Linked DNA regions of Elephas maximus indicus. The protein of the gene in region 1 interacts with the protein of each later gene in a biochemical or structural test. Links are inferred from orthologs where the notes say so. Each region holds a gene or a part of one and is shown in the gene's direction. Other genes may lie near its edges.

Region 1 (10,075 bases):
TTCTCCCAAATATAACAGTACTATGGTAATCCTTCATCAATTATGGAGGTTATGTTCCTGAAGAGTACTGTGGTTGACAAAACTACTATCGTTAAGATCATGATCACCAAGAAAATACAGTATTAGGAGAAAAATGGATACCATAAAAATAGTATATGTGCTTTAACTCAGTAAGTAAAAGTTCTAGAAGGTATATGCTTTTGAAACAAATCAGATTTGTTGGCATTATATACTTGCTCCAGTAGTCACCTTTTCCTGAGTCACCTTTATCAATTATTCAGGAAAATTGCTGAGGCAGAGTCTCACATTAGTGTCATATTATCAGCCTATATTTCTATATAACACTTTTGAATCAGTCCTTTTTGCCTTAACATTTACTGTTTCTTTTACTTATGCTTTCCTTTGTTTTTTGCATGTCTCAGCAAATGTTTACGTCTACCTTTTTACAAGGTGCGTCAGTACTTAAGTATCGGGGGCGGAGAGGAGGGAGTCTGGTCTTGAAGGCATGTATGGAGTGGGTGGGGTAACAAACAAAATTTCCCATGAACCACACCATATATGTATCCTCTGAACTTAGCAATGCGTCTGTGAAGGGAACAGAATGGAGCCACACTTTTAAATGTCAGTGAAAGCTTTTTTTTTTCCCTTAAAGCTCAAGTTTCCACTAGTTTCTACTAAGAAATAGATCCAAGGAGGTAGAAGATGTTTTGATTCTCAATTTTATTAGTGGCAAAAATTAGATTTTTGGAGGGAAAAAAGTGAACAGGCAGCTAGACTTTCCCACCGTCAGGGTAAAAAACTGCTTCTAAGAGAACAGAGGCCTGTCAGGGCCTGTAAGAGGCAGACCACACCTGTCAGTGTACTGATTAGAACCTGGAAGCACAGTGAACCCGCAAGGCTTCTGGGAGACCCAATAAGGACTGGAAAGGTTGGGCCACAGCACCATTCACTCCAGCTGGCCTTATAATTGTCAGACTCTTCTCACCTCCCGAATTACATAAATATCTACTCTTGCCTTGGAGAAGAGCAAAATGGAGATGAAGAGAGAGAAATAAATATAGTGCCTCTGGGAGAGTGGAGTAAAAGCCCTCTTCATTATTCAAACGTTGAAAAGCAGCGGTTTAAATCCCCTCATCCCCACCAAACCTGTAAGAGTTGGAAAAACAGATAACCCGTTGCTGTTGAATTGCTTCTGACTCATGGTGACCCCATGTGTTAACAGAGTAGAACTGCTCCATGAGTTTTTCTTGACTGTAATCTTTACAGAAACAGATTGCCAGGCCATTTAAACTACTGACCTTTAGGTGAGTAGTCAGGCACAAAACATTTGTGCCACCCAGATACCTTGGAGAAACAGATAAAAAACCAAAAATCCAAAATCATTGCCATTGAGTCTTTTCCAACTCATAGCAACTCTATAGGGCAGAGTCGAACTGCCCCATAGGGTTTCCAAGGCTGTAAATATTTATGGAAGCTGACTGCCAAGCTTTCTCCTACAGAGTAGCCAGTGGATTCGAACTGCTAAGTTAGCAGTCAAGCACTTTAACCACTGAGCCAGATTGGCTCCTCAGAGAAACAGACACTATTGTTATTTTGGATATGCCTCCATCTTTTTATCTGTATTTTGTTTTATCAAACAATATTGATTTCAAAGCCCAATTATGCATACAATTCATCTTGGAGACAGCTATTGAAGATTTAGAGTAAGGGATTATCAGTCGCTGTCTATAGAGTAAGGAGTCCTGGTGGTGGAGTGGTTAAAGCTCTTGGCTGCTAACCAAAACGTCTTGAGAAAAGACGTGGTAGTCTGCTTCCATAAAGATTAAAATCAAAACACAAACAAACAAACCCTTTGCTGTCAAGTCAGTTCTGACTCATAGCGACCCTATAGAACTGCCTCATAGAATTTCCAAGGAGCAGCTGTTGAATTCAAACTGCCAACCTTTTGGTTAGCAGCCAAGATCTTAACCACTGTGCCACCAGGGCTCCCCACAACACCTAGTTCCATTTAATGATACATTTAGAGAAAGATTTCCCATTTAAATTGACATGCTCTTTCTAGAAGGATAACCCATAAGCACAAAACACACACAAAAAACACTCCCATTTCACATTGATTCCAAGGGGGGTTTCAGCAGTCCTGCGCCAATTCTAGTGCTCATGTCTTCAATAACAATATTGTCATGGATTGAATTGTGTTCCCCTAAAATACATGTCAATTTAGCTGGGCCATGATTCTCAGTATTATGTGATTGTCTACCATTTTATGTGATTGTCCACCATTTTATGTGATTTTCCTATATGTTCTAAATCCTATTACTATGATGTAATAAGGTGCATTAGTGGCAGTTATATTGGTGAGGTCTACAAGATTAGGTACTGTCTTAAGCCAATCTCTTTTGAGATATAAAAGAGAGAAGTGAACAGAGAGACATGGGAACCTCATACCACCAAGATATCAGCACTGGGAGCAGAGTACATCCTTTGGACCTGAGGTTCCTGTGCTGAGATGCTCCCAGACCAAGGGAAGACTGATGACAAGGACCTTCCTCCAGAGCCAACAGAGAAAAAATCTTCCCCTGGAGCTGGTGCCCTGAATTCGGACTTCTAGCCTACTGACTGTGACAGAATAAACTTCTCTTTTGTTAAAGCCATCCTCTTGTGGCATTTCTGTTACAGCAGCACTAGATATCCAAGACAAGTATCTACCACAGGGTATGTGAAATGAAGAGGGCATCAAGTAGTAACTGAATGTGCACTGCCCTGGCAAGAAGGATATAAGTTGTCAAAGAGTAAAAGTCCTTAGCCTGTTAAAAGGAAAAGGAAAAGAGTTTTATTGAAGGAATATAAAGATTGGAATCTGGCAGCACTTCAGCAAAATTGCAAAGTGCTCCAATTCATTGGAAGAGGTACAAGCCTATTATACAATAAAGTGGGGTAGGGAGTACACAACTATAATCATGGAAGCTTGGGTTTACACATGGCTACAGGACAATAGCAAGCTAAAATCTTACAGGGTTAGCTGATCTGTTTTCTAACACAGACTTTCTACCTATACGTTTTTCCTGAGATAGGCTGTGCAAACATTCTCCCAGGACCAACCTGAGAAACATTTATTGACAAACATGTCTTCACAAACCACATTTTCACCCCTTCCATTGTTTGCTGAGGGTGGTTAAAGTTTCACAAGAAGCTAGATGTCACAGTTTCTAAAAAGGCAGAAAGGAGGACTTAGAATAGACTGAAGTTTAATTAAAAAATGGAACTATGGTTCAGACCTAAGTCAGTCATTTTTTTTTAATTGTGCTGTAAGTGAAAGTTTACGATTCAAGTCAGCTTCTCATACAAAATCTTATATACACATTGTCATGTGAACCTACTTGCTCTCCCTATAATGTGACAGCACACTCCTAGGTCAGTCATTTTTAATCATGCCAAGCACCTCAATTTTAGAGTACCCTCACACGAAGTATAGAGATGGAGGTCAACTAACGTAACAGATAATTAGATCAAGTAGCACAGAACGGATTGTTATGCAGAGAAAAACGCAGCAGTCCCCTAGAATTTAGTAGAGATCAAAGTGGTTGGCTTACCATATCCTGAGCCTAAACGTTGAACATGAGGAAATGGAGTTTTGATGCCAAGTTTTCCCCCAGAGACATTCTTAAAAAACACATTGGACAACTCAGCAATAAAATGGGCAGAAAATTTGAACAGACACTTCACAAAAGAAGACATACAAATAGCCAGTAAACACATGAAAAGATGGTTAACATCATTAGTCATCAGGGAAATACAGCTTAAAACCACAATGCGATGCCACTACATACTCATTATAAAGACTAGAATTTTTTAAAAACTTACTATACCAAGTGTAAATCAGAATGTAAAGCAACTGGGAAACTCATACACCACTGGCGGGAAAGCAAAATGGTGTAGTAATTTTGGAAAACCATTTAGCAGTTTCTTTAAAAGATACATATAAACTATAAGCCATTCAAACTTATCCAAGAAAATGAAAACATGTGCTAAACGAATGCTCATAGCAGGTTTGTTTGTAATGGTAAAAAATTGAAAATGATCCAAACATTCATCAATAGGTGAACAGATAAAGTGTGGTACACTCATACAGTGGTATATTACTCAGCAATAAAAAAGAATGGACTCTTGATATTCCCCCACAACATGGCTGAATATTAAATTAGCTGAGTGAAAAAGCCAGGCAAAAAGGAGCACATACCATATGATTCCACTTATATAAAATTCAGAAAATATTAACAAATCTATAAGGAGAGAACAGAACCCTGGTGGTGTAGTGGTTAAGAGCTGCAGCTGCTAACCGAAAGATGTGCAGTTGGAATCCACCAGGTGCTCGTTGGAAACCCTGTGGGACAGTTCTACTCTGTCCTATATGGTGTTTTTTTTTTTTCTTTTTGGCTTAAGGAGAGAGAGCAGATCAGTGGTTCTCCAGGGAGGGAGCATAAGGAAATTTTGAGGCTGATGGGGGAATATTTACTATCTTATGGTGCATACTTTTGTTAAGACTGATCAATTTGTACTCTTTAAATGTGTTTCGTTTGTTGTACTTTAGTTATACCTCAATAAAGTTAGGAAACAAACACGCATTGAGAAACCTAACCCTTTAGGGTCTTTACATTTAGGTCCTCTTCTGGGCCCATTGCATAAGAGTACACCATAGCTCTTAACCACTGCGCCACCAGGGGTCCTTCCAGTGTCTAACAAAAAAAAAAAAAAATTTTATTATTTTTTTTTTTGGTGTTAGCAATTCTGTTAACTGTTGATCAGGAGAACGGGCTGGTCTCAGCAAAAACAAAAATTTTGAATTTGTGCTGCATGCCGAAGTATGACAGCCTCAAGCAAAATCTAGGATTTTGGCATTTCAAACTCTCACTTCCGGCCTCCACTTAGCCGGCGAGGCCTCCAGCACCGGAGCCCGAGCCGATTCCCACGCCGGAGTGCAACTCCGGGCAAAAGATAGGTCGGCCGCCATCGCGCAGGCGCGTGGACTGAGGCGGATGGGGAACAGTCGGCCCACGGTTGCCCGGTGACCGGGCGGAAGCGGCCGGAAGTTGCGCTGCAGTTGGTCTCGGTAGGATGGAGAAGCTGGGGGTGGTGCCCGAGGAGGAAGGTGGCTGCGAAGAGGAACTGGGTGCGTTCCGAGGCATGGAGCCGACGGACGCGGACGCGGACGCGGAGGCGGCAGGCGGCTCGCAGGGTGCGCCGGGGCCTGAAGAGCTCAGTGGCCTTCCTGGGTGTAAATGGGAGGGGCTGGGCGGCGGTGCCCGTTGGGGCGCGACCGTCCCCTCCCCTTTCGGCTGCCTTTGTCTTGCCCGCCCCACCGTGAGAGAACTGCCCTAGCTTGTCTGGTATTTAGCGACTAGGACCCCCGAGAGGATGGCTTCGCCTCGGAGTAGTAGGGTAGGGCTCGTCAACCTGTTAATCGAGGGTACATTTGTGCCTTTCTCCGCCTCCCCGTGGGGAAAGAAAATACCCGCCACCAGTCGAACGAAAGCTGAATAGGCTCCCAGGCGGTTCAAGGTTGGGAAGGTTGAGAGCCTTGTCCCTCCCTTAGCAGAGGTTGGGCCCCGGCCGCAGCCTGGGCGGGAAGGACTGGTTCGGGATGGAACCGAGAAGGCAGCATGTATATAGTGGTCTCCTCACAGGGTACTCGTGTCCAGCTTCCGGGCCCTACTTTTTACCGGCCAACCCTAGGGTCAGGAGGGGAAAAGACGCTCCTCCCTGCCCTCTTTTTTATTTTTTTCCCCGTAGTGGGGAAGAGGGGGCGTAGTTGTACGTTCACACAAAGTTGTAGAGATAGTACAGAGTCTTGTATCTCTTCACCCAAATTCTCCTAGTGTTTCCATCTTAACATCACTATGGTACATTTGTCAAAGCCAAGAAATGAACTTTGGCCTAATACTATTAACTAAACTACATACTTTTTTCTTCAGATTTCACTCTTTTTTCCGCTAATGTTCCTTTTCCCTTCCGGGATCCAAACCAGAGGACCGTGTTCCATTTAGCCTGCTTTGTATTTAACAAATGTTAAGAGCAGGAATCTCATGTGTCCTCCCAATGACAAGAGCTACATTTTAAAATCCAGGAAATACTTACTCATTCTTTGAATTTAGTGAATATTTATTGATAGTCTACTATATGCCAGACTCCAGGAATATGGGAATATTGAAACCTATAGGTTCTGCTTCCTCACATTTCAGATTTCTTTTTTATATTGAAGGACATGGCACTTAACAAAAAATTTTAAGTTGGGGGAAAATCAGTGATGTTCAGACATTTCTGACTGTCCCAGTTTAGTCTTAGATGTTACTGTAAATTTCCACGTCATAGCATTAGCTCTTTTATTATGATCAAATTTTTTTTCTTCAGTTTATTACTACCCTCAGAAAAATGCACTGCACAAAGAAATGCTAAGTAAGTAAACAAGACTCAGATCCTACCGTATTAGGATGATGGAGTGATCCTAAAGGACAGATACTCCTTACTGTTTCTTTGTAGTTTTTAGATGCTTTGGTGTGTGTAATAAATCCAAGGAAAAAAACTTAAAACCAGTCTGCACTCTCGTTTCTTACTTGTCAGTTACCATGTTTTAAGCACTGTCTTAACTGTGATGATAAAAAGTCTGAATGTATTTTTCCATATTGTACAGCAGGTCGTTGTGAAGTGGTACCAACAGGAAGTACTTCATCCAGAGTCATAGTACATGTGGACCTGGATTGCTTTTATGCGCAGGTAGAAATGATCTCACATCCAGAGCTAAAGGGCAAACCTTTAGGTAATTCTGAACGTTGTTAATATTTTCATTGTGTAATGATCCGATTAGCTACTCGTATTTGTTATATTTATTCTGACTTATTAACTGGACTAAGAAAGACTTAAATGTTAACATTTTGGGAACAGTTCTTACAGGTGCTTTATTGACAGTAATCTTTGATGCACTACCAAGTGTAAACTTTCTAAGTCTCATTTAATAGATGGTGGAACAAGCGGAATAGCCAACTGAAAAGATGAACAGAGAGACCAGAATAAATTTTCAGTCTTCTGCACTGGGTTTTGTTTTTATGTTAGCCAGGGGCTTAGTTCTCAATTCGTTTGAAATTTTATAAGCCTTATCTCTCAAAAACAAACTTCTGATTACATTTTTAATAGAAATTTTCATCGATCCCCTTTCTTTTGAAATCAACTCTTAAATTGTGTAAAGTCTGATAAGTTAATTGGGTTTTGAACAAAACTTTAATAACAAAACATAGAACAAACTTTCCTAAAACGGCCTTTCTATTAATTTTTTAAAAGTGAAAAGAGAAATTTTACATTGAGGATTTATTTATTGATGTCCTGACTTGTTTTAATAATTATTCATATTTTACATTGGGAATGCAGAGGTTTTTTTTTGTTTGTTTCTTTTGTATGCAAGAAGGGTTAGTCTTTTAGCATAAGCATTAAGAGCAATTTTGCTTCCCTTGCTGCTACCCTGTTATCCCTAGTTTGATTTTTTAAATCCCTGTGCAGCCCAGCCTAGCTGATATATTAAAGAGCAATGGGGCGATTAGCTCTTGGTATGCCGAACGTAAGTAGTAACTATAGAGTTTTCTTAAGGGTATCAATAAGTTAGGATCTAAGGTACCTCCATTTCCTGTTAAAAGCATTTATAACTAATAGCTCTGTAACACACGTTGCTCTATAGGTCAAACCAAGTCAAACTCATTGCCATTGAGTTGAATTTGACTCAGCTGCACCTATAGGACAGAGTACAACTACCCTATAGGGTTTCCAAAGCTATAAATATTTATGGAAGCTAACTGCCATATCATTCTCCTGCTGATGGGTCCCAACTGCTGGCCTTTCAGTTAGCATCTGAACACTCAACCACTGTGCCACCAGTGTTCCTTGCTCTGTCCAAGCCAAGCCCACTGCTGTTGAGTCGATTCCGACTCCTAGCGACCCTGTAGGACAAAGTGGAACTGCCTCACAGAGTTTCCAAGGAGTGCCTGGTGAATTCGAACTGCCGACCTTTTGGTTAGCAGCTGTAGCACTCAACCACTATGCCACTAGGGTTTCCATAGATAATGCTTAATTAAAAGGTATTGTGTAATTAAGAAGCATGAATGAATGATTACCATGAAGTGAGGGAGATGAATACTGAAAGTCTCATGGAGGAAACAAAAGGAGTCTTTACACTCAACACACATTTGAGTACTTTTTCTGCTGGTAACATACAATGGTGGGCCCATATAATTTATTTCTGCATTAAAGTAAGAAAGTTACCAATTTGATTTTTCTTATAGTTCACTGAGGAATCTTTTATTATTTCCTTTCACCCAGGGATGCTATTTTTGAAAATCTGATATATAAAAAACCATTTTGTGCAAATGTGTTTTTTTGCTTTGTTTATAATATTCAAAATTTTAGAAATGAGTGCTTCGCATTAGGGCAACGGACATAACCTTTTTTTTTCCCCCCTAAATGTCCACATTTTACGTATTTTCAGTGCTTATTTTATAGTGGTTAACAATCTACTTATTGAAAAAAGAAAAACGTAATTTTAGCAGTCTTAAGGGACCAATAAACTAGAATTTTATGTATTCGGTGATAATAATTTAATGGTTTTCATAGGGAGGCAGCTCATAATGCCTCCTCACTTTGATCTTTTCTGCAGATTACTATGAAGAACAAGTTTGGTAATTGACATTTGTGGCGAGAGATCCTTAACAATTGGTATAGGTTGGCACTTGTAACAGAACATTGCTTTATGTTCACTGACATGTTACTCAGAAGATAAGTACTTGAGTTTTTCTAGCAGCAACCGATAGTAAATTGTACACAGCTTATTGCACCTGTTTTTTCGTAAAACACGAGCTAGAGTTACATATGGTAATAAAAATTAATCTGGTTTTGCATTGTCTGAAAAATTGTAGAAAGATACAATTTGTATCTTATTACCAAAAATTCCACAGGATGTATTGATTTATGATAATTTTTGTTAAATTCAAGAAATATAAACAGTTGCCTTTTGTTTATGAAATAATTGATCCCTCTTCTAACATATAATCTCTCTAGTGTTTTACTATTTAGTAATAACTTTTCTTCTTTCACAAGTAGGCAAAAACAACTAATGATTAAAAATGGAGTGCGGAAAATCTTATATTGATGTCTTATGATTCTGAAGTAGGAGATAGCTTGAAAACTTTGTGTTTCTGCTTTGTAGAATTTTGATTGGAAGTATATTTTTAAACTGAGATAGGGCTCTTTACTCTTATGAAAACATTACAGTATAATTTGTACATTTATAGTACGGAAGTGGAGTATGTGGATGGCACAAACAGTTAAGAGCTCGACTACTAACCAAAAGGTTGGTTCCAACCCACCCAGAGGTGCCTCAGAAGAAAGGCCTGGCCATCTGCTTCTGAAAGGTCACAGCCTTGAAAACTTTATGTAGCGCAATTCTACTTGTAACGTGGGGTTGTCCTGAGTTGGAATTGACTTGATGGCAACTGGTTTTAGTTTTAATATGGAAGAAGTAAGTTATATTTCAAGATACTTTTTCAGTCCTCAGTTTTTTCATAAAGTATTTGTTTTTTATAGGGGTACAGCAGAAATATTTTGTGGTTACCTGCAACTATGAAGCCAGGAAACTTGGAGTTAAGAAACTTATGAGTGTCAGAGATGCAAAAGAAAAGTGTCCACAGTTGGTATTAGTTAACGGAGAAGACTTGACTCGGTATAGAGAGACGTCATATAAAGTTACAGGTACAGATTATAGGCAGTATACGTTTAGCGTTAATTTTTATATAGAATGTTTACTACATTAATATTTTACTAAATGTGAAATGCCATAATTCATTTATCTTTTTTCTAATAATGGTTTGAGGCCTACCTTTTTTTTAAAAAAAAAATTATAGAGGAGGATGACTGTAATATAAATGATGTTGACAAGAAAGTGTGTAGCTGGAAGTAATTTGAATTGTCATGTTTGGTGTTTATAGAGAAAAAATGTAAAACAATGTAGAAGTGAGAAAATTGGAAGATATACCATAAA
Region 2 (9,816 bases), on another chromosome or scaffold:
AACTGACGCCAAGGCTAAGGAAGAAGCCACAGTAGATATGTCTCTAATTTGTGTCAGAGATATCATCCTGCTATGGCAGCATGCTACAGGCTAGGTTTCTACAACATCTAAGTATTCATAATCCCGAAATATTTGAAAATCCATGAACTTCACTAAATCATTATGTCATAAGCAAAAGATTACCTTTAATGTTACACCACTGCAATGCTTCTCTTATAAAATCTATGGTCACGCATCTTCAAAATGGTTATAGCTCTACACATCCGAACTCCTTTAGTATTCTACCAATACCACATCAATTTTCAGAAATTCCTAAGAGTCATCTCTCAATTCATCTTATGCAGATGATACTCAAAGAAGCTGCTATTCTACAGAGTTGAAGAATCTTTTCTGTGGAATGTTAAAACTTCCCAATCAAAAAGATTCTTACATTAAAAAATATATACATACTTACTAATACATACATACAAGATTTATATATATATTTACTAAGCCACTGCCACTATTCATTTGCTACTTAAGACTATAAAACACACTTGAGAATCTGACCATTTCCCAAAGAAGTCTGTCCATTTAACAGGGCAGGTCTCCTCTATGTGACAACTGTTTCCCTCCTCCCAGGAGTTAAATCAGGGAAAATCAAAGAGTATCTCCCTAATCCTCAACACACATTTTTAAGTGCGAGTTTTTTCTTGATATTACCTTTTTAAGAATATTTTAAGATATTCTGGGTAAAGAGTACATATAACAACAACAACAAAAAAAAAGGCTTGAACTCCAGCTCAACCATTTATTAGACAGAAGATTTTCAATAATTATGCTGAGCCTTGGTTTCCTCAACTATAAAACTGGGATGACATTTTCTGACTCCTGGCATTGTTTTGATGTTTAAGTAACATATAAAATGCCAAACAAGTATATGGCATATGTCACGTACTCACTCTGAGTTCTTCCCCTTCTTCCTCCTCACCAAACTCACAGTCTTTTCCTCATCATCTGACAGTTCAGTTAGTACCTACCATTTCTCTGAAAATAGACCTAATGAGGCTGCCATGGGCATAAAAAATAACCAAGTCTAGTAATACAATTTGTGAAATAAGTACTTATGAGAATGCTAAGTCAGTACTATTGACATTTGGTGTTGAATAATTCTTTGTTGTAGGAGGTTGTCCTGTACATTGTAAGATATTTAGAAGCATCACTGTCTAAACCCACTAGATGCAGGAGCAACCCCCAGTTGTAACAACCAAAATGTCTAGAGACATTGCCCAATGTTCCCTGGGCGGCAAAGCTGCCCCTGCTTGAGAACTACTGTGCTAGATTAACTTTCAAACTGCCTTCTTCTGAAGGGTCCCTGCTAAAACGAAAATAGTTGGGTAAGACAGTATCTCACTTGTCCTTTGCTGCAGAAGAAAAAGGAAGAATGAAAATACCAAGGGATCGCTGCAGTTGACATTAATAAACTCGGTGGTGCACAGTTGTGTCCACTGCAAAAGAAATCAGGACTATCACATTTAATAACGATACTACCTTGACCAACAGAAACCCGGATTTTCAAATAGTAACAAATAGCCTTTATTTTTAAACTATTTTAAGTTTTTTTTTCCTACTATAAAAGAAATTTTTACTAGCAAAGAAACTCAATGAACTGAATTTGTTAGAAAATTAATTCATTTTTCCCATGATCTACCAGGTTCTTTTTTACTTACAAAATGGCCTTTTCTTTTGCTAAAGCAGGCACTCTAGCTCCTTGTTGAAGGATTAGTTTCTTAAAAAACAAAGAAAAAAGCCACTCACGTTAGGAAATAGGACTTTCTTGGGGTAGGGTATCCCTTACCACTTGCCGGTACTTGTTTAAATTTTCTTGAAGTGTGTTAAGTAGAAAAGCGAAGATCCTTTCCATGTTCTGGGTTAATGTTTGCTGGATATCCCTTCTTCTTTGAGGGGGAAGTGTCTGAAAGGTCACCACATCCTCCGCCAGTCGCAAAAGGATGAACATCACTAATTCTGTCTGTGTTTCCTATGCCAACAGAAATAAGCTAGTTAAATTAAATTAAAATGCTGACTCTCACCCCCCCACCAAAAAAAAGACAGTATAAAAAATTTGAAGATTCCAGAACAGTATATTGAATTGATTTATCCATTCTTCATACCCCTTGTTTGGAAAGAGCATCCAATTCTATTAGCATGTCAGGCCAATGCTGTGGCCACTCTCGCTTGATCATTTCTACTACGATGCGAGACAGAACATCTTTAATGTGGTTCTCCTCTTCCAAAATGTTTAATGTTCCCTGAAAAAGAATGAGAGATACTGAGAGATCTGCAAGATCGAATTTAAGGAACACCGGGCTGTAAAAGTATATAAAACTCATGAGCAGGCCTGCTTTTAAACTAAGTACAACAAACAAACCTGTTCATCATGTTTGAGTCACTTACCCTGCATTCCCTCTAATCATTCTTCCCACGTAAAGCTTAAGTGAGGGTTGTACCACTAATAAAATGCCGCTGAAGAGCAAGGAAGACATCACAGCTCTCCCTTCAAAACGAAGAAACTCTCATATAGATTGTTTCATTTTTTGAGAGCGTCACAACAGAAAAGTATAGAAATAAGGAACAAGAGTATGCTGAGAGAATGTTAAAACTGGAGGGTCTGGAGATGCAATTAATATTTTACCAACAGTTACAGTATTAGAAGATACAGAAAGATTATCACTAGGTTTCTCTTATTCTGAAGTTTGAAAATGTCAAGACTAAGGAAGTATGATTTCTATTGTCGCCCCAGAAACAGCACTAAAAAAGTATTAGCTAAATAAGTTAATCAGTAATTATAAAAGCTTTTTTTTTTTCTATTGAAGACACTAGATTTTGGAGATGAAAAGGGGTAGGGACTCCATCTTTCATACCCTTTTGTTTAAAAGAAAGGAAAGAAAAAAGGCTATAGACTTTAAACATTTAAAGTCATCTTCTAACTGGGGAAACAATTCATTCTACATATTTTTATTACTAGTATCATACAGTACAGTTTGGAATAAAAGATAACAAACAGCAAAGTTTTAATCTTTTAAACCTATGAATCCATTCATTTGCTGAAAATGTTTAATCTCTTCTGTCCTATCTTTATATTTTAAAAACAGAAGCCAGCACGTAAGGGATGAAATTAAATCTAGTAAGAGAAGTTTGGGAGCCCTGATGGAAAGGTGGTTAAGCTGCTGAGAGGTGGGCAGTTTGAACCCACAAGCTGCTCCACAGGAAAAAGATGGGGCAGTCTGCTTCCGTAAAGATTTACAGCCTTCGAAGCCCTATGGGGCAGTTCCACTCTGTCCTGTAAGGGCATTATGAGTGGGAATTGACTTGACTGCATTGGGTTTGGTATTTTTTGGTTAAATGTAATGAATTATGATTTCTTGTTAATGGTAGTCCTTCTACCTTAAAGGTACACATTTAACATTACACCAAACATGCTCTTTGACCTACATAGAACCAGTGAATTTTTATGCAAATGTTAAATTGAAGAAGTCATGTTTTGTCTAAACTACCTTGGAAACACAAGTCTTCCAACCAACCATTCCTTACATTTGCAATCAGCTCCATGACACTGTTCTTCAGGTATACTTTCTCCAATCGAGACATGCTGTTCCATCGAAACCTGGCCACCAAAAAAGAGAAAGTCAGAAACAGAACCCATTAGAAGGCTTCTCTTCAGAAGAAACTAGTTTTGATTCCTGTGTTAGATTATGTTGGCAATTTCATTAGAAAATTATACTTTTGATTTTGTACCCTTCAAAGAATGGGCAAAAATAGTCCACATTTAACCAAAATGCTAGAAACAGAAAAATTCCAGGGGTTTATATATACAGCACTCCATTAACCGGAATTCACATAGGATTTATGCACACATCAGCTTCCCCCATGATTTTATTAATAGACTGAAAACAAATATACATCTGGGACAACTACAATATAGTCGTTTTTTCCAGAAAACACAATCTGATAACACCAACTACCTTATTACGCTGGTTTACAAGGTAATAACAGCACAATTCCAGAAAACCTGAGGCTAAGTCTTAAAAATGGATTTCTGTGATAGGCATTGGAGGAGTTTTCAGTTATTCACATATAATATTGCTTTGGAAGTGCCATTCAGAGACGGTACACACTCAAAACGTAAAAGAAAAGAAAATCAAAAGTAATGTCCAATCACAAATTTATTTATCTATACGCAGTATGGAAACCCTGGTGGTGTAGTGGTTAAGGGCTATAGCTGCTAACCACAGGGTCGGCAGTTCGAATCTGCCAGGTGCTCCTTGGAAACTCTATGGGACAGCTCTACTCTGTCCTATAGGGTCGCTATGAGTCAGAATCGACTCAATGGCACTGGGTTTGGTTTGGGTTTTATACACTGTATAATCCTAAAGAGGCTTTGAGATCTGCCGGCATATATAGATATTCAATAAATGCTGGGTGAGTGACTAGCAGCTATTATTTTTTGAATGCTTAGTATGTAGCAGGCACTTTACAGGATGAAGAAATTGAAGAGCAGAAAGGTTCAGTCTTGAATGAGAATTCCCTGGAGGATCTGATAATTCTGGGTATTATTCCTTTTTCCCTTGAAGAATGCTCTATTCTGCTTACTTAAAGAACATCTAGGGAGCCCTGGAGGCACGTGACTACTAACTGAAACGTTAGCAGCCAGTCCAAGGAAGAAAGATGTGGCAGTCTGCTTCCATAAAGATTTACAGCACTGAAAACCCTGTGGGGCAGTTCTGCTTTGTCCTATAGGGTGGCTATGAGTTGGAATCCACTCCACGGCAACAAGTTTTTAAAGAACACCTCTGAGTTATCCAAGAAATAAAGATTTGCTCTCTTACATACTTCAGTGGTAAACTCGTAAAATGCCTTACTTGACAACGTGTTCCAGGATCTGAAGGCCAAAATGCCTGACGATGGCAATTTGTGTTTTCTCAGCCAGCCTCAGGCCACACGGGACACAAATAGGGCACTTTTCTTTAAACTCTTCACAAAACTGAAAAATAAAAAGTTAGTGTTTCTCTTGGGCGTTAAGACAGTGTGGAGACTAAATAAGCTTCGTTCTAAGAAATTCTAATCTGATCAAATCTAGATTACTACTGTATGAGTAAAGAAATGATAAACATTTCTTTCACTCTGATGGTTCCAGATTTTCCATGGTACGGCCTTACTAATATTAAAAAAAAAAAAAATGACCTAAAGGAGTAAAAAAAAATTGTTAACGATATACCCCTGCAGTACATAAAAGTGAAATGACAATTTCTAGGATTTGTTATACGTCAACAAATCCTGCTGTATTTAGAACTTAAAAGTACAGAATTTAGGTGATGAGTATACCCAGGAGTCACTGCAGTATTATCTCTACTTTTCATGTCTGTTTTAAATATTCCATAACAAAAAACAGACTAATAGAAGCCAGTTGTTTTTTATTTCAAACCCTGGCGCATACATCCATCTACTGTAAAGTTTCCTCCAACTGGCGCTATTTTATGAAATTGCACACTTAAAATATATACAGCACAAATATTTTTTCTAAGCAGCCATTTCTCAGAGCTCACAAACATTGTTTGATAGGGGTATAAGCTCTTTTTCTAATAACATCCCCATTTGTACTAGGATTCCGGAATTGTAACACATGAGTCAGTACCAGGACCAAAGCATCCGGGACTCAAGAAAACTACTTTCAGGAAACCCAAGTGCCCTTGTTAAAATGCAAAGTAAGCGGTAGAAGTTCATCTTTGCTCAAGACTATCACACACTAAAAAACGTGGGGCGCGTAAGAACTAGCCCAGAAATGCCCAAGACACAGAAGAGGGGTCAGCGAGAGGTGTATGGATGTAAGTAAAGGTGTACTAGGTGGACTGGAGCTTGGTTAGGATGGATCAGGAGAGTGTATCAGTAGCGAAACGTTTAGTGCAGGGAAAACTCTAAAGAAAGAGATTGGTGTTGGGGGCGGGATCAACACGTGCGCCACCGGAAGGCGAAGAGATGCGGGATTTGGAGCGCAGCCTGCGTGAGGAAAACGGAGGGACGAAGGGCAAGCGCGGCGAGCAGTGAAGGCGGGGGAGGGAGAGGCGTGGACCGCCGCCAGGGAAGGCCCCCCCAAGGGTTGGGGAAGGAGGTCCAGGGGACCGGGGCCGGGGGAGTCGGGGTCAGGGGAGGGTCTCGGACCAGGCCCGGGGGCGCCAGGACCCCGGCTACCTTGAGGGCTTCCAGCCGGTAGCGCTGGGTGGAGCTGGGGTCCATCATGACCGTCACCGCTTTCACCAGCTGCTCGCACAGCGCGTTCACTTGATCCATCTCCATGGCTAGCGCCACGCGCCGCCAGCGCGCAACGCGGCCGTCCTGAGAGCACGAGGCACGGACGGCTCCCTTGGCGGCACCACAAGCTGGTACCGGGCCGCGCTGGGCTGGGGGATGGGGAACGGGGGGAGGAGCGTGAGCTGCTGAAGCTCGAGCCAGGAAGGTGCCGGCGCTGCGCACGCGCCCGAGCCGCCAGTGCGCACGCGCCCACGGAAGTGGCGGCAGCCTTGTGACGTTTACTGCGGTGGGCGGAGCGGGCGACGGAAGGGTCGCGGTGCGCAGGCGCGTCAACGGTCCTTATCGGAGTGCGCGCAGTCTGATCATCTGTCAGAAGGGCTTGCGGCTTAGCGCCTAGATCTTGGCTGAACCACACTCCTGGCTGTGCGGGCGCCTGCCCGGGCAAGGATCCTTCGCGACCCTTGGCCCATTTCTCTGTCGACACTGGGAATAGATCTCTCTCGAACAACTGGACTGGTCCTGGAAAGGCGACAAGATATTCAAGACCCTTTCATCTCCCTTCCAGTGGACTCCGAACCCAGCAACTGCGGCTTCCGCCGTTGACAGTTCTGCCAGGTGTTTATCACACTGGTAAGAGAGTTTAGAATTGTGCAGTATCAATGTTTTTAGACTTTTCATGCTGCCTTGGCTATTGGTTTTGTGATACAGCAGAGGCTGGTAACAAAATTAGCCCCCCCCCCAATTTTTTTGGGTGGGGGGGGCCTAAGTTACGTGAAAATAGAAACGTAGTTAAGGCCCTGGTATTGTCCTCTAAGGGGATTTTTCTTTTAGAAAAAATATTTTTCGCTATAACTCTTAAATCTCCCTCTTCACTTGTACTTACTTTCCTGGATATGTCATCATTTCATAGGCACCAAACTTGTTTTGTACATATTGGAATGACTCTAGATATTTAAAGATGAATAATTACAATTATTGAAGGTTCGTGTGGTATTGACAATTTGCTATATATACGATTTCAAAGTAGCGTAATTCTCGTTCCCAAAGCATGGTTTTGGTAGAGTGTGTTTCATTTTCCATCCTTAAAAAGCTCTTGCTTTCTCCACCAAAATACATAAACTGAACACCTCAACATCTTCATTATCTGTTAAAGCCTGCATATCTGTTTCTGTACTCACTAAAATGTTCACTGGGCTTAAATCACTGCTTCCTATGCACACTCCAGTTCTGATATTTGTATCTAATATGATACTTTGGGCTGTGCTGTTTTTGTTACAATGCATTTACTATTTTTACTCAGGCATTATCTGTTCCAGTACTACATAAAAGCCAATACAAAATAAAGAAATTTCTCACATGCTGTGGTTTTAACTTACACATGTTTAAAGTATCACATTCTGCCTGTTTTAGATGAGTGGTCAATAGGAATTTATAAGGAATTAATGCCTTGAATACTCTGATTTTCTTCATTCTTTGTTGCTCTTTCCACTTGTTCCAGCTTTGTAATTGTGTGACACTTTTTTTTCAAGGTGTATGTCAATTTTTTACAGGCTTTTTTAAGAATACAGTTGGGTGCTTGCTCAACTGTATAGCCTGTTTCTCAAATTTAAATCATCAGTTACTGGTGTTTGTTTCCATAGGTATCTTATTTACTTTAAGTTAGTGGTTTTCAAATTCTGCTGCATATTAGAAATGCCCAGGGGAGTTTTTAAAAATCACAATGCCCAGGAAGCACCCCATACCAATTAAATTAGAATCTCTGTGGGTGGAAACCAGACATCGGTATTATTTAAAAGTTCCCAAATGATTCCAATGTGCAACAAAGTTTGGGAGCCACTGCTTTACTTTTATTCCTTCTTCCAGATCAGTAACAATGTTAGATGATAACATTAGTCTGTACCCTCCCTCAAATATGTAGGGTGTATTCTTCCAACTACCATCCATTTCTTTGTTTATGTGTGTATCTGCGAACAGTGTGCAGTATTGTTTGTGTTCAAAGTTTACATAAATGGGTAGAAAATCACCATTAGAACACTACAATAATGATTATTACAGCAAGATCCACTGATGAGTGGTTAAATTAGTGGTGAAAGTTTGAGGAGAAGTAGGATATTATCATAGTCTCAAAGTATCTCCTTCAAGATGATCATTAGTTACAAAAGGAAAAATAGTAACTTTTCAGTGACAAATCCAGGGAACACTACCTTGTTGTTAGCTGCCTACAAGTGGTCCTGACTCATGGAAACCCCATGCACAATTGGATCAGACCATTGTGATTCATAGGGTTTTCAGGGGCTGATTTTCCAGAAGTAGGTCACCAGGCCTTTCTTTCTAGTGTGTCTTAGTTTGGAAGCTCCACTGAAACCTGTTCAGCATCATAGAAATACGCAAGCCTCCAATGACACTTGAGGTGCACCAGCTGGAGACTGAACCCAGATCTCCTACTGGAAGGCAAGACTCCTGGTTCGATACACTTAGAAAAGCTTGCCAAAAAATGCATAACCTCATTATAAATGTGGGAAAAGATCAGACAAAATCTTATTGAGACCTTCTCCAAATAACTGACCGGTACTCTTCAAAAGTGTAAAGGTCATGAAAAACAAAGACTGACTGAGAAAGTATATGGATTGGAAGAAACTAAGGAGACATGATGACTAAATGCTGTGCAGGATCCTAGATGGAGTCTTGGATCAGAAAAAGGACATTTGTGGAAAAACTTGTAAAATCCAAATAAAGCATGTAGTTGAATTTATAATATTATACCAATAATGTTCTTTTTTTTTAGTTTTGATAATTGTGCTGTGTAAAATGTTAACATTAGGGGAAACTATGTTTATGGAAACCCTGCTATTTTTGTCACTTTTCAGTAAGTTTAAAATTATTTCAAAATAAGACGTTAAAGTATTTACATAAATGTTAAGATGTTGTATATCATTTTCTGCTTCTCTTTTCCCTGAACTTATACTTAAGTTCTGTCTATCAGCTAGATTAGCTGTTGGCTCTATTCCCCTATTGATGTATATTGTGGTTTTAATTTGCATTGGCCCATGACTAATGATGTCGGGAGCCCTGGTGGCACAGTTGTTAAGAGCTCAGCTGCTAACCAAAGGTTGGTAGTTTTAATCCACCAGCCGCCCCTGGAAACCCTACGGGGCAGTTCTCCTCTGTCCTATGGGGTCACTCTGAGTTGGAATTGACGCGACGGCAACAGATTAATGATTTGAACCCATTTTCATGGGCTTATTGGATGTTTGTATATTTTCTTTTGTGAAGTGTTCATTTCTTTGGGGAGGTAGGTATTTTTAGGCCTTTATACTTATTATCTTCCTAAAACTGAACCAATTTATTCTGTCAGTAGTATAGAAAATGCTTGTTTCACTCTCGTTAGGTCCCAGTGTACTCATGGTGACTCTGTGATGGAAGAATGGCACATTGGATTAGGTATCCTTTTTTTTTTTTTGTGGTAAAATATACACAATATAAAATTTGCCATTTTAATCGTTTTCAAGTATACAATCCAGTGGCTGT

What was found.
Region 2: the proteins of POLI (region 1) and POLH interact in far-western blotting, tested with the Homo sapiens proteins (2 studies listed by BioGRID). The link is inferred for Elephas maximus indicus from reciprocal best matches to the Homo sapiens genes POLI and POLH.

What each region holds. Positions count from the first base shown.
Region 1 is NC_064829.1:62,857,162-62,867,236, forward strand, and holds the start of POLI (DNA polymerase iota), read left to right. Parts: upstream 1-5,105; 5' UTR 5,106-5,115; coding exon 5,116-5,236; intron 5,237-5,247; exon of another isoform or gene 5,248-5,439; intron 5,440-6,434; exon of another isoform or gene 6,435-6,446; coding exon of another isoform or gene 6,447-6,453; intron 6,454-6,688; coding exon 6,689-6,814; intron 6,815-9,621; coding exon 9,622-9,786; intron 9,787-10,075. UniProt on the Homo sapiens protein: Error-prone DNA polymerase specifically involved in DNA repair. Plays an important role in translesion synthesis, where the normal high-fidelity DNA polymerases cannot proceed and DNA synthesis stalls. Favors Hoogsteen base-pairing in the active site.
Region 2 is NC_064819.1:108,005,526-108,015,341, forward strand, and holds the start of POLH (DNA polymerase eta), read left to right. Parts: upstream 1-5,774; 5' UTR 5,775-5,864; intron 5,865-6,228; coding exon of another isoform or gene 6,229-6,333; exon of another isoform or gene 6,334-6,918; intron 6,919-9,816. Other genes in the region: XPO5 (exportin-5), read right to left, coding at 1,838-2,020, 2,154-2,291, 3,574-3,646, 4,902-5,023, 6,229-6,333. UniProt on the Homo sapiens protein: DNA polymerase specifically involved in the DNA repair by translesion synthesis (TLS). Due to low processivity on both damaged and normal DNA, cooperates with the heterotetrameric (REV3L, REV7, POLD2 and POLD3) POLZ complex for complete bypass of DNA lesions.